6 linked regions of the Rattus norvegicus genome follow. The protein of the gene in region 1 interacts with the protein of each later gene in a biochemical or structural test. Links are inferred from orthologs where the notes say so. Each region holds a gene or a part of one and is shown on either strand. Other genes may lie near its edges.

Region 1 (3,978 bases):
TAGGTCCTTGTCAAATTCTCTGTATCAAATGCTCTTCTCCCAGGTTCTCTATTAGAACCTTTAAGAATCAATCAAGCACACCTGAGGATCGAATTGCATGTACAATGACTGCCCTGGTGCTTGTCTTCGTAGCTCCGAGTGAACTTACAAATGTGCTTGTGTAAATGACAGACATCCTTTTCAGCTTTCACCACCTGTATGTTTGAAGCAGGTAAACAGCACGGACGTTCTGTTTACTGCTGTATACTCTGCATTTCAAAGTACAGTGCTTTAGATGAATGAAAATTTTAATATACTATTTTAAAGTTATTATTTTATGGCTATTTTCCTTCATTCAAGAAATTGAGCTTTTTTTTTTTTTAGAGATTTATTTATTTATGTGAGCACACTGTGGCTGTCTTCAGACACACCAGAAGAGGGCATTGGATCCCATTACAGATGGTTGTGAGCATCGAACTCAGAACCTCTGGAAGAGCAGTCAGTGCTCTTAACTGCTAAGCCATCTCTCTAGTCCCTTAGTTCTTAGTTTAACTGTTACATTATCAACTCAGAATATAAAGTTATCTCTATTTGTTAAAATGGAACAAATTCAACCAAAATAGGGGCATGTTAAATAAACATGAAGAAGGGGAGGAGCACTGAAGACTCGCTCCCAGCTAGCATGGGAGGACATGGACCAAGATTCTCAATGGATGTGCAAAACTTCACAGTACCAACCCCATCCCAAGCTCTCCTCCATCAAAACCAATGTAATAACCCACACAGCTAGCTATGAAGAGACTAACAGGCAGGTGACACACAGTACTGGGGAAAAGGTGCAACTCATGCCCCTGGCCAGGATTTTATCATGGTGCTCAATCTGTAACACTATAAATGTAGCAAATTCCCATTAAGTATTTTTGGACTATGGCTGACCCACAGGCAACAGAAGCCAAAGAAAGCAAACCCTGAGTCAGACAGAGCCCCATGGAAACAACTTCCCACCATTTATCCAAGCAGATAACACAGAAGGAACACCAAGCAGTTTTGGGGGAAGGATAACGAAAAGTTCCAGTTCTGAAAATAAAAGAACATGGCAAGCAGTGGTGGCTATGCCTTTAATCCCAACACTTGGGAGGCAGAGGAAGGAAGATCTCCAAGTTGAGGCCAGCTTCGTCTACAGAATGAGTTCCAGGACAGCCAGAGTTACACAGAAAAACAACAACCAAATGTATGATGTTATAGCTTGGTTCTGGTAGAAATAAAGGCCTGGAGTTGAGAAAAAAGGAAGTTCAAGAACTGCGGATAAATTTTTAAGCTTGTTATAAGCAGTTTAAAAAATAACTGGGTAACTACCTAAGAAAACTGTTTTTATAGACATCCTAAGGTGTATCTAAAGTTTCTCTAAGGTTATGGACAGCTGATACAGGTCTGACCTGAAACTGTCAGAATGGATAGACGTCGATGGGCAGAAACAAAGGTCTGCAGCACTCTTCTATCTATACTCAGGTCTTGGCTTGTTTTGCCAGCTACAAAATGAAAAGCAATTCTCTCCCTTAATGATTGTGAGAAAATTCAAAACTGTGTCCGACAACGGAGACCGCAGCTACCATATTTTAAGGTTACGGTTTTACTGGCATCTTAAGGCCGGAGTGGTTATCAAAGACCTAGTCTCAAGTAGAAATGTAAAGTTTCCCATACAGTAAGTGCCCTACCAATTCCCCTGAACACGGAAACGATGGCAGTAATGCCAGTTGGACCTTTTCCTTCTGGTACTGAGCTAGTCCAGCTGTAATTATGGGTTGGGTACAGTGCAATAAACCTTTACAAGGGGTAAGGTATAGTAGAAAAAGAGATCAGAAGCACGCGGACATCTGCAACAACTTGCAGTCAAGTTCGAAAAGACGACTTTTCACCAGCACTGCGGTGCTAGGTACGAACAAATTACTGTTTTTAAAGTGAATCCATATATATCATGTAAATGGTACTCATTTGATTTTTTTTCCTGGCAAAATAAGTAATTAAAGGGAATGAAAAACGAAGCACGTTGTGTTTAAAGCCATATTCTCAAATATTAATGTGTATGCGAAGTTCTACGTGGTCTAAGCAGGAGAGTCCAATTTAGCTATGACTATTTTCAACGTTTACCTGAGAGAGTCAAGTCTCAGCGAGAAGTAAGCACATCCCCTTCATTTAAATATGTGGGCGTCTGATTACTAGGGGAATTCCAGGGCGTCCTTTCAAAGGGCGAGCTTTCCGCAGCCCCCCGTATAGAGTTTCACCTATCTGCTCTATGCCTGGGGCATACCTGGTCCAGAGCCCGCTGTGGACAGATTCGGACCGCTCCCTAGCCTAGCAGCTCCCTCGGGGATGGGATGGAGTCGGGGATCAACAGGATGGAAAGCCACCAGCGAGAAGCCGATAGCAAAGATAAACCCAAGCCGGCGTTGACAGGTTTAACCGTGGACTCCCAGGTCTCTGGTGGATCATTTGAAGCCAGCTCCGGGGAAGCAGGCGGGTCGTGCTGTGCCGGGACCTGGCGCTCTTCCGACCTGAGGTTCCCCGTCGCTCGGCTCTGGGTTTCCGCTTTCCTCCGCCCCCGCCCGCCCCGCTGCGTCCAGCCCGGCGGAGCTACTCACGTCCTTCTTCACTTCAGTTAAGTCCTCCTCCGTGAGAGACGGCGCGGGAGCCTCCATGGCCGAGGCCGGGATGGCGTCCTTTCGGCCCGCGCCACCCCGCCCTGGCTAAGGGCTCGGGCCTCCGGGAATCGGGCTGTGACTTGGGAGGACTAGGAACAGAAGCGGGGGAACCGCCGGTTCACGGAACGCGGAGGAGGAGACCTCAACGCCCCACTTCCGGCTCCGCCTCCGGGGCCTGCGGCGCCGCACTCAGAGTCCATCCTAACTTAGGCACCACCCTTCGGCGAGGCGGGTCTACCTGCAGGCCCCGCCCACTTCCGTGCCAGCCAATCATTACTAGCCCTAGGTTTCGTCCCTTCTTCCGAAGTGGCTCCGCCCACAGCAGCCTTGCCTCTAACTACGCCCGCTTGTTATTTACTAGGATTGCGGATTGGCCCCAAGAGAAGGATTCGTTTCCGTGGGCGGGGCGTTGGCCGCTCAGTGTAGCGGGATCTCCCCGCCCTCGCAGACTCCTCTTTTGGGTAGAGTGTGGGCTGAGTAGGCCAGGGCATTTTGGTTTGCTTCTCCCTCTGTTGCGGAACAATTTCCTGTTGTGCTGGGCCAGGTTTTACAATTGCTTGATCATACACAAATGTATAATATATAACATAATATAACCAGTATTGAAATGTTTGAAAGCCTGGTCCGGGGCCTACTGCCATTTGCCACCTAGAACTTGGGAGACAGAAACAAGAAGATATTGAGTGCAGAAAACAAAATAACAAAACACAATAAAAAAACGAAAAAGGTGTTTAAGATTTAATAATTAACTGCAATCCCATCAATTTAGCAGCAGAGGTAGTGTTCAGGTACTTTTAAGTCTCTATTCGTTAGGAACATTTCTCCGTATTAATCTATGCAATAAAGATACATTTAAAAAGCTTCTAGGGTCTCTAGGAGCATATTTAAGGCTCTGAAGCTACTCGGTGCACAGTTGCACTCTCGTTTACTGTTAGCCTTTATCACTGTAAGTGCTAGGTATGTCGTGATGGGGAAGTTATCTTTTTGGAGGCCAAATGGCTATTTTCAGAATGGTATTTTAACTCGTAGCTTGTGCGGCACATAGTGGATAAGGAGCTCCACATAGAGTCCTGGGCAGAAAACGATTATGTGACCAATGCGGTAAATCTACAAGCACAGATTGAAATGACAAGACGACCAAAGGTAACAGGAATCTATCTAAAATCAAAGAACCACAAGAGGCATAGAGCCACATCTCCATAGCTCTGCTCAGAGCCCTGGAATCCTGGTATTCACATTATACCAGGTGTTTTTTCACACTGATGTCTAGTTTACTAGAGTTTTTCTGTGCCCTTAGTCA
Region 2 (4,213 bases), on another chromosome or scaffold:
GACCATGCAGTGTCAGGTGGAGCTGTGGCTGTCACCTGCAGACCCTGTGCTCGTCCTTGTCTACAAGTGTGTGCTTGAAGACCAGCAGCTTGAGGGACAGAGGGAGCACTCCTGGCCTCCCAGAGGGTAGGATGGGTCCCTCAAGACTGAGTGTGCTCACTAGGCCCAGTCTGCCTTGCTGTCCCTCACAGGCGAACTGAGATTCTGACTCAAACACTCACATGCCAGGACTGCAGTCGGCCTTCTGTCTCCCCCCAGCCCCTGTTTTACGTGTTTATGTTGTATGTATGTAGTCCAGGCTGGCCTCTCACTCTGAGATCTGCTTGTCGCTGCCTCTGGAGTTAAAGGTTAAAGGTGTGTGTCATCATGCCTGCCCTCTGTTACTCTTACAGTGACCTTTGTGAGATGGATGAGAATTGATAGGGCTGTGGCTATTCCACCACGAGAGGACACCTCTGTCCCCTCTGGAAACTGTACGACTCTGCCCTTGGCTGACAACTGGGCCCTGCAGAAATGGCACTGCAGAGCGGTCACCACTTCAGTGGAATTTCTAGGCTGTGAGTAGGAGAAGCAGAGAAGGGCTCCCCTTCTGGAGACCAGCAGGGCCTCAGCAATCCAGGAAGGCCCTGCTCCCGAGAACCGGAGAGGCACCAGGGACCACTACCCTGATCTACATCAGAAGGCTCGTGTCAGACTTAGTCACTCCAGTGCAATCACAGGAGCCGGGGCCAAGTAGCACCGAGTCCACCCACAGCACCAACCCACACCTGTGCCTCTCACCGATGATCATGGAGAAGACACGCGCTGGCTCCTTGCCAGTGACTTTCCTGTATAACTGAGGGTAGTAGAGTTCCAGACTCTCAAGAAAGGCCACGTAGCCCTTGTGGCCTGTCCGCTGCAGGATGTCCAGGAGCACACCTTCAGGCAGAAGAGACAGAGTCAGGGCCCAGGGCTGGGTAGGTAGAGGCCCTTGGGGCTGGCTAGGATGGTTACTCTGGGTAGATAACCTAAGCTCTAGACACCCCCTTCCCTTCTGGGCCATTGCATAAGGCACCCTGCAGGTCTCAGTCTAGGTGGGACAGGGTGCTGTCTTTACTCTGGTGGCTCTGAGGATCTGAACAATGGTGGGGACTCCCTTCCCCCACTGGGCAGCAGCAGGTAGACATGACAAGAGGGGAGGAGGACCTCACTCATATCCTACATGGAGATGGAGCTGGGTGGGGCTGAGGTAGCAGACTCTGGCTGGCTGTCTTGTGGGGATGATGAGGGACTGGGCCCTGCTGGTATGGGAGCAGCCCTCACCCACTTTCCGCTTGCGGATGACCAGGTTGGGGTCACTGAGCACCTGCTCCTCATCATCGGGGTTCAGGACTTTGCACTGGCGCAGATAGGGTGTGATTCGTGAGGGGTCAATGACAGAGATTAGCTTCACCCGGAAGCTCTCCAGGGCACTCCAGCACTCGTCGTCATTTTCATAGTCTGACATGTCCTCTGTAGGCTGTGGTACAGTTGGGGAGAGCAGCTGAGGAAGTGCCCACCTTCTGTTCCCTGCTGGGCCTGGCGCAGTCAGCCTGACAGGACCCAGGCCTGGGAGTGCCAGGGCAGGGCTTTGGGCAGGGTCAGAAGGGACTCAGTCTAGGGAAATATACGGCTCAGTTTCATCTCCTCAGCTCCATGGAGAGTTTCTGAGGGGAAGCAGAGGTCCATAGGCAAGCCCCTCCTCAGGCCACCTGTTAAACCCACCTTCCCCAAGCTGCTGTCACCCCAAGCTTTCGTTGAGTCATGTGGATATGCAGGGAAGGGATGGGTTGGGGGTCTAAGAGAATAGCCCTTGTACAACAGGCCTGCTCTAGCTTCTGCCCTCTACCCTGGAGTGCCCTGGCACACCCTCAAGGTGGGAGCTTTTGCCCCTACTGGCCATCCTACATAGTACCTCCCTGGGTGGCGTGGACCCTGGCTGGCCAGTCTCCAGATTGGGACTAAGAGGGTCAGGTTGGTGGGAGGCTTTCTCACTCTGCCAGGGGGCCAGGCCTATGTGTGACTTCCTCATTCCCTGACAGGCTCCGAGTCCTTCAGGCCTTCCGTTGTAGCCAGTGATGCAACAGCCTGTGGCATGGTGCTATTCTGGGAGGGCAAGTAAGGGTTGGCCGTGGGAGCATGCCTGCCTCCCTGCTAGGCTGGGGTACACTGGACGTCTGCTGCGGCTTCCCTCCAGTTTTTCAGGTGCTAGGCAAGTCCTGTGCTTTTCTGCTGCCGGATGAGGCCTGGCCTCTGGCCACATGATGGGGATCAGTCAGGCCAGTTGAACATAGGGGCTTACTCGTGTGGAGCTGCATGTGGACAAGTGAAGCCTTTGTGAGTGGCTTCAGTGGACAGACATTTCTCTAAACCTTGGGCCCACTGCCTGCCATTCCAGCCCCACAGCCACATGGCCCAGCACTGGAGGACTATACTGCCATGGCCAGGGTTAATCAAATGAAGGGTGAGGGTGGAGGAGGCCACCTGCCTGTAGGTACTGCTGCTCCAGGGTCCCCAGCAGACTCACCACAGGCTTCCACCCACCTCCAGGAAGGTGAACTTACCTCAGGGTCCTGTGGGAGCCACCTGCCAGCTGGATGCTGCCTGGGCTATGGGCACTCCAGGAGCGAGCCTCTGGGAGTGTGGAGATGCTCCCTAACTGGAGAAGGGTGGAGCCATGAGGGAGGCTGTGCACTTCCTGATGTGTTCTGGTTGCTGCCACAAGCCAGCCAGTCCTCCCTGGGAGGGGGGGGGGGGCAGTCCCTGCTGGTCTACCTTCTGATTGGTCCATCCAGGAACAGGAGAGAGGGAAGTAGAAGTACTCTGGGAGCAGAGGAGCCCTCCCCGCCTGCTCATCTGAACTCGGACCTGGAGCCACAGAATCTGAAAATCTGGCGTTGTGGATGGGCGGTCTAAGGCCCTCCTGGATCCAGGCTTCTGAAAGCCGCTCTTCCCTCATGGCCGCCCATATCCTCACCTGCCGTCTGAGGACGGTGGTGCAGGGTAGGTGCAGCAGGACAATCCACGGGCTGTAGGCAGCTAGAGTCCTCCGTGAACTGCGTGCCCCAGCCTGAGATGGGCGTGGGGACCTGCTAGCCCTGACCAGCCAGTGTAGCTGTTAGACAGGTGCTGCTGCCTAGTCTTCGAGAGGAGTTGAAGCAAAAGCTGAGTGGGAAGGCTGGGAGACCTACAAAGAGCAGAGCCCAACCAGCCCCGTCTTTCGTGGCTTACTGCCCTTCTGTTGCTCCTGTGGGGACAGTGACCTTGGACCATACTTCTAAAAGCAGCAGTCAGGAGTCCTCTTTGGCCTGGGTGGGGTTGGGAGTGGCATTGCTAGGGACTGTGCCTTGCTGGGTTTCCAGGATGGCAAAGAGGGGTCCACGGCTTTGCAGTTACTCCAGGAAGGAGATCACAAGGCCTCCATAGTGGAGTTTGTTCCCCAAACAGTAAAAATACAGATCATGGTGTTTTCTTAAAAGTGTTAATAAAATGGGAAGCTCTTGCCCATAAATCTGAGGTAGAAATCAATCGGATAGCTGAAAAAACCCCAGTACTCCAGAGTGGAGAAGAGGTTAGAGGGAGCCATGGAAAACACTGGTCCCTGGACACATAACAGAGGGCAATGAGCTGGGCTGCAGGACAACCACCTGCTGACAGTCGGTACAAGCAGCAGGATTAGGCTGCTCACGCCATTTTACTATGAAATTTCCCACAGAGGATGGATGAACACATGCAAGAACTAACTCCTGGAGAGCCAAGGGCTTAGGACTGGTGTCACGATAATAGTGTCTAAGAAAAAAGGAGACAGGGCCGGAGAGATGGCTCAGTGGTTAAGAGTGCTGACTGCTCTTCCAGAGGCCCCGAGTTCAATTCCCAGCAACTACCTGGTGGCTCACAACTGTCTGTAAAGGGACCCGATTCCCTCTTCTGGTGTGTCTGAAGAGAGCAACAGTGTACTCATACACATAAAACAAATAATTTTTTTTTTTTGTTTTTTTTTTTTTTCCCGGAGCTGGGGACCGAAGCCAGGGCCTTGCGCTTCCTAGGCAAGCGCTCTACCACTGAGCTAAATCCCCAACCCCTAATTTTTTTTTTAAAAGGGAGAGACAGTCAGGAGGGAGAGGTGCTGCTGTCTGGGATGGGTGCTGGTTCCAGGGACCTTGCCTGGCGGTGGGGGGCCAATTGACATAGTTCC
Region 3 (3,990 bases), on another chromosome or scaffold:
CTAAGGCATCCACTCTGGGCAGCTAGATATAATACAGTCAGGGCATCACACTCTATATGGGACCATCATACTCTGGTGTCTGCCAGAAACTCCACAATGAACTGAGCAGGTTTGATTGTGTAGATGATGGAGTTCAGCTCCGGCTCTCTTCTGGCCCAGTTAGGAGATTCCGGAACGTACCTCCTCTTGTAAAGGTCTAGTTCTCTTGGGCCCAGTGCAGAGAAAGTGCGGGATACAAAGAGATGGGTTAAGACCTTGTAGATTAGCGCGCATCAAAGGAACACGCGGCATACAAGCGGGCAGCATGTCCCTCCACCGATGTGACATCAGACCACCCCTTTACCTGAATTTAGTTGCCGCTGCCAAACACGTTCACAGATCTGGAGTGCACAGCCCGTTTCCGGGGGCTAAGCTTCGTTGGCCCATTTAACGCAAGAGGGCGTGTGCTTTGACTGAGCTGACCCGCCTCAGGAGAGGCAGCGGGGAGGAGCTTCGGGCTACTCTATCAGTGCGGGGGAGGAGGGGGGGGAGAAGAGTAGAGATAAATGCGCGCGCAATCCCGGCGAACTCCGCCCTTTGGCCGTCCCTGATGCCCCTGCCCCGCGATCGCGATGTCTTGCTTGCATTGGTGCAGCTCCACTCAGTTCTCCTGTATTCCCTTAGTCTCCCCAGCCATAATGTATGGTCTAGCTTTCCGCTGGGCCCCCAAGGCCCTGCACCTTCCCGGATGACCCCACTTCCGTTAGCAGCGTAGCCACGCCTTCCTGAGGCTAGTTTGGCTTCTGGGGCCCAAGTTTCGCAGCTTCCTCTAGACTTTTAACTTAGTAGGGGCCTGGCAGCAGAGAGCCAGGGGTGTTTTAGTGAGGATGCGATGCCTTGAAAATGGGGTGAGAGCGAGTGTGGACATGGTGACTCACTGCTTTAATCCCAGTAGACGGAAAAAAGGCAGGTGGATCTCTGAGTTCGAGGCTAGTCTGGTCTACGTAGGACCCTGTCCAAAAAAAAAATTGTGTGTATAAGAGTTGTGATGTTTATCAGTAAGGAGCATTCTGCTGTTCCGCTGGCCAACGCAGGCTGGCGGTCTAAGACTTTGGAGCAGAGTGTGGCACTTCGGAGTTTTAACTCTCTAGTATTAATGCCTTTGAGTCTGTGTTTTACTTCCGGATCCCACACTTACGACACCGGAAGCCGGAAGTGGGGTTTTCCACTGCTGAGAAGGGAAGGGTGACCGCCTGACTAGGATTTCCTAGGAGCTCCGATTCTGCCGCTGCTCCTGCCCTCTTCACTTCTGACCGACTCTGCTGACAGGTGTGGTCCTCTTCCCCAAAAACAGGGCTTCATCGGTGACCGTTCCGCAGCTTCTGAGACTCCTGAGGTCCACACCCTTCCCCCATCTTAGGCCCAGTTCTGCCGCAAGCTTCTAGAGCATTGGTTCAGGCAGGTTTATTCGCTACCCAGGTTACTTGGGTGGCTAGTTGGCTTGAATTTGCCCTTCCCTTCACCGCAGCTGTCTCCTAAGGGCTTGGCCCCTAGTGGTAGAACTCTTTAGTTAGGAGACATTTTCTGTTGATCTAACTGTTTCTGAAACACTTTTTGCACTGTAGGCCAGGTAGTCCTCGAACTCAAGTTTCTGCCTCAGCCTTTCGAGTACTGGAGCAACAGGTGTGCCAGGGTGTTTATCAAACTTGAGTGCATTTGAAGTCTTTAGAAAGTTTTCAAGGGTACATTCACAACTAAATATCTTCTGCACCTCAGTTCACTTTGCAAATGATTCATAGTAATCTGTTTGCAGGTCCTCATACCATTTATCTGACCTGAGAACGAATGTGTTGTCTTGGCATTTCCTAGGAAAAAGGAAGGACTAGTAGCCGGAGCAGAGAGAGCGAGGGAGGAATAGTTGGTGGAGAGGAAGTAAGGTAGGAGTGTAGGTGGTATAGGACCTTGTAGGCTGTTGTATGGACTTTGTTTTTTGCATTGGGAGAAGTGGAAACTCTGATGGAGTTCGAGAGAAGTAGCTTGACTTATCTTTGAGGTAATTGGTCCCAGTGGGGTCAATTGCAAAGGGCCAGTGAAAAGCAAAGCATGATGGTCTGTAAAGAGATTATTGCAGTAATGCAGGTGAAAGATAGTAGTGCTGTCAGCCTTTACTTATTGAACCATTTAAAAAGTACAAAAGTAGAAATAATATAGTAAGTTCTATGGATACATTTCTTAGCTGTGACTATTAGCTCATAGTTAACTTTAATTCACACCCCTTATAATCCTCTACCACAATTATTTTCTTTTCTACAGAAGATGTTATTTTATGTGTGTAGATGCTTTGCTATGCTTTCCTAGTGCCCAAGGAAGTCAGAAGAAGGTGTCATATCTCCTTGGATTGGAGTTACAGATGTTTGTGAACCACCATATGGGTGCTAGAAAGTGTCCTCTGCAACAATAGCAAGTGCTCTTAATCCCTGAGCCATCATCTCTCTTGCTCCACCCATTATGATTTTCAGTAACAGCTTTCTTGAGACATAATTGGCATGCTACACAAAATATTTACTATTTGTGTGTGCTTTCGCCTCCACATGCATGCATGGTGTATGATTTGTATAGAGAGCACAGGTGCCATGGCTAGACTATGTAGAGGTCAGAGAACAACATTGAGTCAGCAACCTGTTTTTCACTTTTATATGTTCTAGTGTCTCCAGGCTTGCATAGCAAGAGCCTTTATCCACTGAGCTGTCTCACTTGCCCATACTTCAATATATTTGAAACAGTCTCCTGTAGATCCCTTCCCCTTGAGTTCCTAATCCCCTGGAGCTGGAATTACAGAAGGTTTGAGTTGTCCAACATGGGTGCTGTGAACTGAACATGGGTTCTCTGGAAGAGCAGTCAGTGCTCCTAATAGCTGAGCCATCTCTCCCAACTTCTTTTAAGACTTCTAAACATCCAAGTAGTTTGATATGTAACTGGAATTCGGGAATGTGAACTGTTTGAGATATTATCAACATTAAGATTTGGGTTAAAAACCATGAGACTGGACGGAATTACTGCAGGGTGAATGCTGTTAGAAAAGAGGTCCCAAAGTACCTCAACGTGAAGAAATGGGGACTCAGTAAAAGGGCCTGAGCAGAATCAGCCTTTGAGGGAGTGGGAATCACCAGGTGAGGAGGTTTTCTGGAGCCTGAAGGAAGAAAGTAGGTGAAAAAGAGGGAAGGGTCAGCTGTGTGAGCTCAGGCAGATGGACCCATGGGTAGCAACACTTTTATTGTAAATAGCCAAGATTCCCCAGTGTTATAGGCATCCTCTCTTATTGGAAGCCTACTTCTGGACGCTTGCATTGAGATCATTCTCTTCCTGGTTGTCAGAATGAGGCAGGATTTAGAAGGTCTCCAGGTTAGTACTGTCCTGCATAATTCCTGTCTGCTTTAAAAGCCAGCATAAGCAGATCAGACTGAAACCCCAATTCACACTTTTCAAACTTCTTAGCACACAAGAGGTCTCCTCTATCCCCAGTGAATACTTCTCAGGTACAATGTAGTCTTCTGAAGTCTCTCTTACCAAGTATTTGTATTTCCCTGACTCCTGTAAGAAATGACCACAGGCCCAGTGGCTTAAAAGAACAGAAAATTGATACCTCACAGGTCTGGAAGCCAGGAGAATAAAACCAGAAGGTGGACAAGGTCATGCTCCATCTGCAAGTTGTGTAAGAGTATCCTTTATGTGTCTTTTAGTTGCTGGTGGCTCAGTTGTTCCTTGGCCTGTGGTTATATTAATTTAGTCTCAGCTTCTGTCTCTCATGTCCATTTTCCTGTGTTTCCACCTGTTTCCTCTTCACTTTTATGTATATAGGAGGAGCTTGGAATTGAACCAACAGTCTTGTGCATGCTAGGTAAGTGCTCTACCACTGAACTACATTCCCAATCCTGTTTTCATCTGTCTTTTAGAAGGGTTCTTGTTACTGGGGTCATGGCCCACCTATGTACCTCACAATGATATCACTTT
Region 4 (3,500 bases), on another chromosome or scaffold:
CAAAGAATTATCTGTTCTCCATCGTATCTTACATATTAACCCTCTCTCTTCCAGTTTCCAAATGAGAATCTTCACCTTGTGCGCATGTGGATGTGGATGTCCGTGTGTGCAGGTGTTGTTTCAAAACAGGGTCTCACTATTTAGCATTGAGAGACCTGGTACACAGTCAAGACTTGCCCCGATTCACAGAAATCCTACTACCTCAGCTTCCTGAGGGCTTGGGCTGTGTGTGCACAGCCAAGATCAGTTAGAGCCTCCTTCTGAGGCTGTTGCCAGCCCACCTGTGTTAGAGGAAGAGGCAGGCATTCACGTCTAGCTTTGGACTTAGGTTTTTGAGGGCAAGTATTTTCTTGGTCAGGTCCAGAAATGGCACCTCGAATGCCTCTCATAGCTAAGCAGAGGAGGAGTGTAATAATCTTTAAGCTTGTTCTTGTTTGGGGCATTTGGGTTTTATAACTATTCCCAAACTGGCAGTCTTTTCCCACTGAGAGCATGTGACCGGTCATCTGAAAAGTGGTGATTCTGCTGGCCGAGGTCAGCGGGCTGGTGCTGTAAACGTTCTTGCTGTGCCGTGACCATGGCCTTTTCTCTTTCCAGAGAGGAACAAGCAAGAGAACTCTACAGAAGACTCAGGGAGAAGCCAAGAGGTATGTGCTTCGGACCCCAGCCTCCATTTGTCTTGTCTGTGAGGCAGTGGTCTCCCCTGGAGGCCAGTAGGAGGAACGATACCATTCTCCTCTGCAGACCAAAGGACAGAAGGTGACAGCCAGGATATGGTACGGCTGCTGCTGCAAGCCATCCAGAGCTTCGAGAAGAAAGTGCGGGTGATTTACTCTCAGCTCAGGTGGGTGCTCCCTCTCCCCATCCAGGACCGGATGCAGAATCAACAAAGCCAAGGGGCAGGTGGATGCCCTTGCTCCTCGGCTGCGATCTGCCCGCACAATGAGGAACAGATCGTATTTAGAGCAGTGCTGTGCCGGCCCAGACCTCTCAGGCCTGTGGATCTTTCGTCCCTCACAGTAAGACCGTGGTTTGTAAGCAGAAGGCCCTGGAGCTGCTGCCCAAAGTAGAAGAGGTGGTGAGGCTCATGAACGAGGATGAGAAGACTGTGGTCCGGCTCCAGGAGAAGCGGCAGAAGGAGCTCTGGAACCTCCTGAAGATCGCCTGTGTGAGTGACTTATTCCGGCCTCTCAGGTCCCCTCCCTCAGCCGTGGCTGCTCTTTCAGCTCTGACCTGTGACATGGAGTGGTCAGGGAAGCTCCCTGAAGGGAGGCTTCAGCAATTACCTCAAAGAGCTGCAGACAGCAGCCATTGCTCTTTCAGAGCTTCAGATACCGGAAGTTAGGAATCCAGTTGTCAGCAAAATGGTGTCTCCTCTGATGGATCCAGGGCAAAGCCACCCCACCCCCACTACCCTCTCCAGCTTCAGTGGCTCAGGCCTCCTCATCCCGTCCGTGTCTGTCTTCTGTTGACATCAGTGTCTCATCCGAGTGTCTCTTATAAGACATTCTGGGGTAGAGATACATTTCAGCAGAAAGATGTTTGCCCCGTGCCTAAGGCCTTGGGTCCAGTCAGACCCTAGCAGCAGCACACACACAAACACACACACACACACACACACACACACACACACAGAGCTAAGCAGAAGGTTGCACACTTATTATCCCAGCACTTGCTGAGACAGGAGGATGATGAGTTTAGACCAGCCTAAGCAATGTCGAGACTCCTTTCAAGGTGTTAGTGGGCTGATAAGGAACTGGCATGGTGGCACATACCTGTGAGCCCAGCCCTTGGGGCTCTGGAGCAGAAAGTTCAGGGCTAGCTTGGACTACATAGTAAGGCCTACCTCAGATAACAAAATAAATCCAAAAAGAGCAAGAAAAGGAGATAGTTTATTACAGAAGCAGGAAACCAAAATGTTGCTTTGTGAAGATTCTAAGCCTGGAGCGTCTCCACAGGCCAAGCGGGAGGAGGCAGTGTCTTGCGAGGCTCACAGCAGCAAGCTCACACTTGTGCTCACTCTAGAGAACTCAGGGAAGTCAGAATCCAGAGCTTCACTGATGGATTTGCCTGGGGATGGGAGCTGGGGGATATGCCCTCCTGTAAGAAAGGGGAACCGAGGTAACACATGCTGGCTTGTTCTGCCACCTGCATTCACCGAGTGTCCAGTGTGAGAGCTGTGCTGTGTGGGGAGCTGGGTCTGGCATCCACCGTAACCCACCGAGGGCGCAGACGAGGACTTGAAAGAGAGCACCCTAGCCTGCTAAAGAAGCGTAAACTCGGGGCTGGGGATTTAGCTCAGTGGTAGAGCGCTTACCTAGGAAGCGCAAGGCCCTGGGTTCGGTCCCCAGCTCTGAAAAAAAGAACCAAAAAAAAAAAAAAAAAAGAAGAAGCGTAAACTCTGGTGTGCAGGGTGGCGGCCTGTGAATTCAGGGCAGGAACCCCAGCTTTCTCGGAAGTGAGGGAGTAACCAGAAAGGCTCCTGCGTGGGAGTCGGAGTGATGTGACCATGAGAATATTCCAGGAGAGCGCATGCTGTCTGCTGGTAAAGCTGGATTGGAGCAGTGCTTGTAGGGTTTCACTGGGGGCAAGACGGAATGGGGCTAGCACCGGCACCCCTTATTCTCATAGCACAAGAGGAAACACTGAAGGGTTCCCTCTTCCCAATCCCAGTGAAGGCACTTCAGGAGAAAACACTCGGGAGTGGCTGGAGACGGAATGCCACATTGTCAACCGTAGCACCAAGAGACAAAGGCGATGGGTGGAAGGAGTTGAGAACCCTGTGTGGAGCAGGCTAGCCCTTCCATATGAATTAAGCTTGCATGCCTGGTGTAGAGACAGAGGAAGCAGGCGTCCAGCTTTCTCCACAGGTGGTGCAGCAGACGGGTGAGGAACAGTACAAAAGCGCTTGCTTAAAAGGCTTGTTGAAGGTGGACCTTGGTGGTTAGCCAGGGTCGGGGAGGGGGAGGCAGAAAGGGACCCCAACCTGAGGGCTGAGATTAGGACCGTGCAGCTTCTGGCAACAGTGACGAGAGGATCAGGGACAGCGAAGAGTGTATGAGGCAACCCCACCAAGGAGAGGCCAGAGGCTCAACTGCAGAAGTGGCTAGAGGTGCTAAGGAACTGGCTGCAGGGCCTGGTCCCTGGCTGCACGCATGAGGAGGTGGCCAGCAGCCACAGCCTGGGTGGGCCTCTTGCTGGAGGAGGCTAGCTGTAGCAACCCTGGTCATCCAGACGCCTCAGTGTTCTTTCTGAGCTACACCACAGGTAGTGCAGTCGTTATTATCTCTGTGTACCTTGGCTTCCCACTTGGAAAAGTGAAAACACCTTCCTCTCCTTTAGGTTTGCTTTGTGTGTGTGTGTGTGTGTGTGTGTGTGTGTGTGTGTGTGTGTGTGTGTATTCAGGTGTGAGTGTGTGCACATGCGTGCATGTGTCCAGGTGTACCAGAGGCACTGGGTCCCCCAGGAGCTGGAGTTAAGCATTTGTGAGCCACCCACTG
Region 5 (3,500 bases), on another chromosome or scaffold:
TTGGAACACAGCTCTGTGCATGTTATGGCTGCTTATGAACAGTTCTAGATTTGAGTAGTGGAACAGAAATTATGACTTCCATAGCTTGAAGTACTTAATATTTGACTCCATACAGAAAATATTTGTTAATCTTTGTCTTAATGCTTTCTATTGCTGTGATAAAGACCACAGCAATAGAAACAACAGAAGCAACCTGGGAAAATTAAAGTTTCTGTATGTACCAATCCCAGCCCATCGTTGAGGAAAAGTAAGGCAGGAACTAAAGTGGCAACCATGAAGGAGCACTGCTTATTGGCTTGTTCCTCATGACTCCTTCAGCCTTCTTGCTGTTATAATCTAGGACTGCAGCCTGTCTAGGGGTGGCATTTCCCACAGTGGGCTGGGCCATGCAACATCAACTGCTAATCAAGAAAGTGACCCACAGACTTGTCTACTAGCCAGCCTGATCGGCATTGCCTCAAGTGAGCTTTCCTCCAGCTCGCGCCAAGTTGGCAAGAAAACAAAACAAAAGAACAAACAAACAAACAAAAAACCAAAACCACTAATTGCTATATACATTCTAGGTTTTTTTAATTTAATTTTATTTTTGTTTCTTTGTTTGTTGTTGTTGTTGTTGTTGTTCTTGTTCTTGTTCTTGTTGTTTTTGACACAGCATTTCACTATGGACCCCTGGTTGTCCTAAAACTCACTTTTTAGACCAGGCTGGTCTTGAGATCTGTCTGCCTCTGCCTGAGTGCTGGGATTAAAGGCATGTGCCACCATGCTTGGCCTAGAACATGCTGGTCATATTAAATAAAAATATCAACATTTGTGGGGCTTATTAAAAACTTGTCTTTTTATTATAATCACTCTTTGTATTTAATTTTAAATGTATCTCTTTATCAGCATTTTTCAATTTCAAGTGCTATTGCCCTCGTCTTTACTCCATATGAGCCTTCTCATCAAATTTATTCAACCTCAGTATGGATTTCATGATTTTTTTTTTACCCTTCTATCTCTTGTCATTGTTACAAGTAGCAAAACAGACTTTCAATGTAGCCCATGCTGGCCTTGAACTCAGGGTCCTGCCTCATCTTCCCATGTGCTGGCCTTATAGACATGCACCACTATGCCCCAATCCTTATAATTTCTGTAGCGTGACTTTTTTACTTGAGTGTCCTCTGACGGTATAGTGGTTGATGATTTCGCTGTTGCCACTCAGCAGTAATAGATGTCTTTTCTTTTCTTCTCTTCTCTTTAGCTACTCAACAAACCAGAAAATTGTTGTGGACTTAAAGAGAGCCAGATCCTTTCTTTACTGAGTGACATAGGTATGTAACTAATATTAAAGTATCATGCGATTTAATGCCCCTTTGGTCCACAGAAACTTCTGTGTACTGCTTGGAAGGGAAGGAGAACTACATATATATACTTATAGATTTTAATATCTCTGAAAAATTAGAATTATCCATTTCTTATGATGCTAATGAAAACTAGTACATTTGGCATTTGTTTTTATATGAGGGGGTTTTGTTTGTTGTTTGGTTTTGGCTATGTATTATTGTCTAATAGATGGTCCAGTGATGAGAAAAGTGGTATGAACCAACATTCATCTCATTCCCCCTCATACCTCCCCCCACACTGACATAATAGTTTGTTTATAGAGGAATTACATGTTTCAGGGATAGTTCCTCAAGTTATCTTGGAAGGAAATTCTCCTTCTAGTCAGAATTACTACTGAAAAAAATCCCTAAAATAACCATAAACTAGACCTTTAAAGAAACCTCAAAAAGCAAGAATTCATTTCCCTCTATGTTTTAGTGTTGCTTCTTTTCCTGGGTCAAGGACAGTAATATCTAGTTTAAGAATGTGATTTAGGGGGTTGGGGATTTAGCTCAGTGGTTCAGCCCTGGGTTCGGTCCCCAGCTCCGAAAAAAAGAAAAGGAAAAAAAAAGAATGTGATTTAGGTGGGAGGAAAAGACCATAAGAATTACAGGAAAAATTAATCGTTCCATTTGCTTTTAATGTTGATTCCAATAAATTAAAAGAGTATATAATATAATTTTTCCAGTGTTTATTTCATGTCATTGAACTTCTGGTGAAGAAAATCTGAACTACCCTAATGGCGGTGCAGCTGTGATAGATCGTGTAAATGTGGGGAGGTGTGGTGTGTGGTACATGGGGGCGATTGTTGGTGCACACTCACAGCATGCATCTGGAGGCAACAGCAGGATGGCAGATGTTCTCATTTCCTTAACTTGATTGTTTTGAGACAGAGTCTCTGACTAAACTAGAAGCTCCATGCTCCGACTAGGCTGGCTGACCAGCCAGTTCCTGAGATTTGCCTTTTCCTCTTTTTAACCCTGCTGGGGTTATTGTTACACAAAGTCATACTTGACTTTGTGTGTGTGTGTGTGTGTGTGTGTGTGTGTGTGTGTGTGTGTGTGTGTGTGTTGGGGGGAGGGACAAGGGTTAAACTCAGGTCCTTGGGCTTTCACGGCATTCACTTTTATCCACTGAGCCATCTCCATAATGGCTCTGGACATAATTTTTGCACCAGTGTAGATCTATAGAAATATGAGCTAAAAACTGACTGTAGCTAGACATGGTGGCACACAGCTTTTATTCTAACACTGGGAGGCAGAGATAGAAGGATCTCCATGAGATCAAGACCAGCAGGCCAGCCAGGGCTATATAGTGAGACCCTGTCTAAGGAAAGAGCTGAGGGTGCTGGAACATGCCTGCAGTCACAGCACTGGGAGGGAGAACAAGAGGATTAGGAATTAGAAGTGAAGTAATCCTTGGCTGCATAGGGGTTCCAGGCCAGACAGGGCACATGAAACTGTCTCAAAACTCTAACAATAAAAACAAAGTGTGATATGATTTTTTAAACAGTATTTTCTGTTATTTCACAATACACTTGAAATTTTGTTTAGGATCTGGGATTCGTTATTTGCATGAAAACAAAATTATACATCGAGATCTAAAACCTGAAAATATAGTGCTTCAAGATGTTGGTGGGAAGGTAGGTGAAGCCTGAAGAATGTTCATGCTTTTCGTTATAGTCTCCCTGGTACATTAAGACTTTAGAGACTTTAGTTTTCTCATTAATTATATACACATAGTACTTTATAATTCTTCTATTGTGGTCTTCACTGAATTAAACTGTAGGGTTTTTAATTCTAGACTTATTATTGTTATTGTTTTAGATACATTATTGTTGTGCTTGTTGTTATTATTTTCTGTATATGTGTACCACATATGGTGCTTGTGGAGGACACAAGAAGAAGGCACCAGAGTTCGTGGGTCTAGAATTACAGATGGCTGTGGCCATTGTGTAAGTGATTGGAATTGAGCTCAAGTTCTTTGCAAGAGCAACCAGTGCTTGTAACTGCCTGGCCAATTGTCCATCCCCTGAATGGTGGTTTTGTGGTTAGATTTTTTTTTTTTCCTTCTCTATGGAACAGTGGCTCCTTAGAGAAGCATCTGTCTTGCTCATCTCTGGACTAGGAATATTGACC
Region 6 (3,500 bases), on another chromosome or scaffold:
CTGAACCCAGCAGGAGCAGGGCTACTGGGTGCCTGTTTTTCCACACAGCGACACCTGCTCTTCCGGGCTCTTGCTGCTGCTTAGATGGTCACAGACAGTGGGTCTCAGCCAGTCCTGTGGTCAGCGAAGAAGCCCAGGTGGAAGGGCATGACCCTGCAGCCAGTCTTCAAGAGACTGGATCCCATCCCCAAAGGGGGAGTCCTGTGTTTCTTGGGGGACCCTCAGGCCCAGTTTCTCCAGTTTGCAGGCCACACGCCTTGTTCAGTCCTAGTCCTAAGGCTGCTTCCATATCCCCTCCACAGAGCTCAACAGCTTCTCCTGGTGAAGCTCCAGCGACTGGTTCACAGAGGCACTCGGGAAGAGGCAGACAGCGCTCACCACACCCTGCGTAGCCTCCGGGTAGGTACCACACACACACAGACACACACACACACACACACACACACATGACACACAACACACACACAGACACACAAACACACACATAGACACATACACAGACACACACATAGATACACACACAGACACACAGACACACATAGACACACACACAGACACACAGACACACATAGACACACACACAGACACAGACACACACACCACACACACACACAGACATACACGGACACATATACACACAGAGACACACATACACACACCACACACACAGACACACACACACCACACACACACACACACACACACACGACACACACAGAGACACACAGAGACACACACACATACACACACACACAGACACACACACAGACACACAGACACACACGGACACATATACACACACATACACCACACACATACACACACACAGACACACACACACCCACAGACACACACACACACACACACACACACACACACAGTGGAGTGGTGGGGACAGGGGTCCTGAAGCTTCCCTCTTCCTCCATACATGTAAGAAGCCGTGTCACCATGTCTTCAGGAAGATGCATTGCAAGGGACTTGGTTCCTTGGGATGGGGAGCTCCTGTGAGCCCTCCCTACCTGTGACTTAGGAGACTCACAAAGGTGTCTCAGCCCTTCCTGCTCTGGTCTCAGATACAAGCAGTTGCTCTCTCCCAGCCTCTGCTGCTGCCAGACTGCAAGGCTTCGATGTTGCCCCTCACATCCGAGCCAGAGGGGACTTGGGGCCGGGTGTACACCTCTCTACTGCAGTCTCACACTCAGGAGCCCTTCGCTCAGCCTGAGCTGATCGACAAACTCATTCCAGAACACCCTGCAGCCGGAAGAGCCGCTTTCGGCCAGCGACCCCCGGGTCAGTCCCCGCCTCTCCAGAGCAAGTTTCTTCTTCGGTCAGCTCCTGCAGGTAAGGTTGGTGATTGCATGCCCGCTGGCTTTCCTAGCACAGCTTGCTGGGGCTCCACCCTCTGCCTACCAAGAAGAGGTGCCAATGGGACATAACAAGGCATTGTATTCCGGGCGCCCCTTGTGACTTCTCACAGCGCCTGGCTTCTCCTGTCCCATTTTATCCTCGCAGTGACAGGTCTGTAGACAGACTCCACGCCTGCTGGAAGCCAGTCTCACTTTCATAAAAGATTCGAAGAAACTTTAGGCCAAAAGAGCTTCCAACAACTCTGCTGCTAAAATATGATAGAAAAATCAGATGTGCTGTGTTGGAGAGAGAAAAACAAACCCTTCGGATATGTAGGCCAGTGTATTCTCTCTGGGGGAGCATGACAGTTACCTGAGCATCCTGGCAGCCAAGGAGATAAGGGAACCCAGTAGGTTTCTCGGACCTTACCTGTCTGTGGAAGCAGCTCATCTTTTCAGAACCGGGATGGATTTTTTTTTCTCCTTGTACTTAACTTCTAAAGAAATAGCAAATATTTGGGGGTGGGGGAAAGTAATACAAGAACCATTGACGAGCTTGTTGTGCGATTTCTTATAGGTACAGATTCAGTGACTATAGCCAGATCTTGTATCGATAGTTGAGAGAAGCAAAGACCGTGAGCCCAGACACACACATTTCCTGTGTGGCTGCTGCATTAATTACACTCCAATGCAGTAAGAAATAACTAACACCTTGACCCCAGATCCCAGATAGACACAATTCTGTGACAGAGACAGCCTGGTGGGAGGAGACCTGCAGGGTATTAAGGCCTCTGGAAGGCAGAGCCATCCATCTATCATGACACTGTCAGGCCCATGTGTCAAGCTTGAGTCATCAGGGTCTCAGCCAAAGATTCAAGGCTAAGCTAGGGGCATGGCTCGGTTGTTTAAATGCTTACCTACCATACTCAAAGCCCTGGGTTACTTTCCAAGTACCACATAAACTTGACACCGTGGGGCAGGCTTGTAATCCCAGCTCTCAGGAGGTAGAGGCAGCGGGATCCAAAGTTCAGAATCCTCCTGGGATACATAGTAAGGTTGTGGCTAGCCTGGGCTACATGAAACCCTGTCTCCAAAATATATAAGAATAAAAGCACGAATCTGACACACACTAGGACCAGGCAGGCTCTTCTGAAGCAGGGAGACACTCAACGGTGCCCTGTGGGAACCTGGACTCTGTATATATGAACTGTGTGAGAAGCCATGATCCCAGAACCCAGAGGGTCATGGGAACAATGCGGGGGACTCAGAGGTTTCCAGCATGTATGGACCCCAGGGGCTGCCAGCCAGGGTCCTCACCAGCTAGAACAGTAGCTGCACATGGTGTCTTCATGGGACGGTAACTAGAGTGTTCCAGAGTCTCGTGCAGGGGCTGGCTTTTTACAGCAGAGGCAATCTGCCCTGAGCACCCCACAGAATAGAGTCAAGGTTTGGGCAAAGGTTTTGTCTGCCTGGTACAAGTCAATCTTGGCACAAACCAAGAGATTATGCCCCACCCACCTGCCACACCTCCTTCTCTCCACAGTTTGTCAGTCGGTCAGAAAACAAGTACAAAAGAATGAACAGCAATGAGCGCGTGAGAATCATCTCTGGGAGTCCCCTGGGGAGCCTCTCCCGGTCCTCGCTGGATGCCACCAAACTCCTGACCGAGAAGCATGAAGGTGTGTGAGGACCTCCTGGCCTCTCCCTACAGCCCAGCAGGGGCATGTCTGGTACACACCTCACCCTCCATGGAGCCACATCTGTCCCCAGGACAAGCTTAGCAGGATGAACAGACAAGGGAGGGGGCTGAAGATGTGTGCTTACCCCAGCATTGTTCTAGTTTGAACTTACAGCCCCAGCTAGGGGAGGCGGAGACAGGAGGATGCCTGGAGTTCACTATCTAGCCATTCTGGACATTGTTAAGTCTCTAATTTCATGAGAGGCCCTGTCTGAAGAAACAAGCCATAGAGTGAGTGAGAAAGACACCCAGTGAGACACCCAATATCTGCTTCTGACTTGTGTACACGCATGCACACATAGACATGCACACAAACGTGTGTGCACACACACTTGCATAGACACGTACACAGGCACACACACGTACACATGTGTGAACACATGCACACACACACACAGTTGGAGGGGGAAAGTCAG

What was found.
Region 2: the proteins of Bcl10 (region 1) and Card9 form a complex in vitro, tested with the Homo sapiens proteins (2 studies listed by BioGRID). The link is inferred for Rattus norvegicus from reciprocal best matches to the Homo sapiens genes BCL10 and CARD9.
Region 3: the proteins of Bcl10 (region 1) and Ikbkg form a complex in vitro, tested with the Homo sapiens proteins (3 studies listed by BioGRID). The link is inferred for Rattus norvegicus from reciprocal best matches to the Homo sapiens genes BCL10 and IKBKG.
Region 4: the proteins of Bcl10 (region 1) and Ikbkb form a complex in vitro, tested with the Homo sapiens proteins (2 studies listed by BioGRID, with this or other methods). The link is inferred for Rattus norvegicus from reciprocal best matches to the Homo sapiens genes BCL10 and IKBKB.
Region 5: the proteins of Bcl10 (region 1) and Chuk form a complex in vitro, tested with the Homo sapiens proteins (2 studies listed by BioGRID, with this or other methods). The link is inferred for Rattus norvegicus from reciprocal best matches to the Homo sapiens genes BCL10 and CHUK.
Region 6: the proteins of Bcl10 (region 1) and Card11 form a complex in vitro, tested with the Homo sapiens proteins (2 studies listed by BioGRID, with this or other methods). The link is inferred for Rattus norvegicus from reciprocal best matches to the Homo sapiens genes BCL10 and CARD11.

What each region holds. Positions count from the first base shown.
Region 1 is NC_086020.1:237,500,003-237,503,980, reverse strand, and holds the start of Bcl10 (B-cell lymphoma/leukemia 10), read right to left. Parts: upstream 2,801-3,978; 5' UTR 2,676-2,800; coding exon 2,619-2,675; intron 1-2,618. UniProt on the Homo sapiens protein: Plays a key role in both adaptive and innate immune signaling by bridging CARD domain-containing proteins to immune activation.
Region 2 is NC_086021.1:29,575,603-29,579,815, forward strand, and holds the start of Card9 (caspase recruitment domain-containing protein 9), read right to left. Parts: upstream 2,801-4,213; 5' UTR 2,583-2,800; intron 1,499-2,582; 5' UTR 1,487-1,498; coding exon 1,303-1,486; intron 919-1,302; coding exon 781-918; intron 1-780. UniProt on the Homo sapiens protein: Adapter protein that plays a key role in innate immune response against fungi by forming signaling complexes downstream of C-type lectin receptors.
Region 3 is NC_086039.1:157,371,695-157,375,684, forward strand, and holds the start of Ikbkg (NF-kappa-B essential modulator), read left to right. Parts: upstream 1-1,190; 5' UTR 1,191-1,308; intron 1,309-3,629; exon of another isoform or gene 3,630-3,691; intron 3,692-3,837; 5' UTR 3,838-3,877; intron 3,878-3,990. UniProt on the Homo sapiens protein: Regulatory subunit of the IKK core complex which phosphorylates inhibitors of NF-kappa-B thus leading to the dissociation of the inhibitor/NF-kappa-B complex and ultimately the degradation of the inhibitor.
Region 4 is NC_086034.1:76,067,031-76,070,530, forward strand, and holds part of Ikbkb (inhibitor of nuclear factor kappa-B kinase subunit beta), read left to right. Parts: intron 1-597; coding exon 598-647; intron 648-744; coding exon 745-844; intron 845-1,020; coding exon 1,021-1,168; intron 1,169-3,500.
Region 5 is NC_086019.1:252,934,274-252,937,773, reverse strand, and holds part of Chuk (inhibitor of nuclear factor kappa-B kinase subunit alpha), read left to right. Parts: intron 1-1,240; coding exon 1,241-1,310; intron 1,311-2,915; coding exon 2,916-3,004; intron 3,005-3,500.
Region 6 is NC_086030.1:18,860,588-18,864,087, forward strand, and holds part of Card11 (caspase recruitment domain-containing protein 11), read left to right. Parts: intron 1-302; coding exon 303-399; intron 400-1,245; coding exon 1,246-1,341; intron 1,342-2,889; coding exon 2,890-3,025; intron 3,026-3,500. UniProt on the Homo sapiens protein: Adapter protein that plays a key role in adaptive immune response by transducing the activation of NF-kappa-B downstream of T-cell receptor (TCR) and B-cell receptor (BCR) engagement.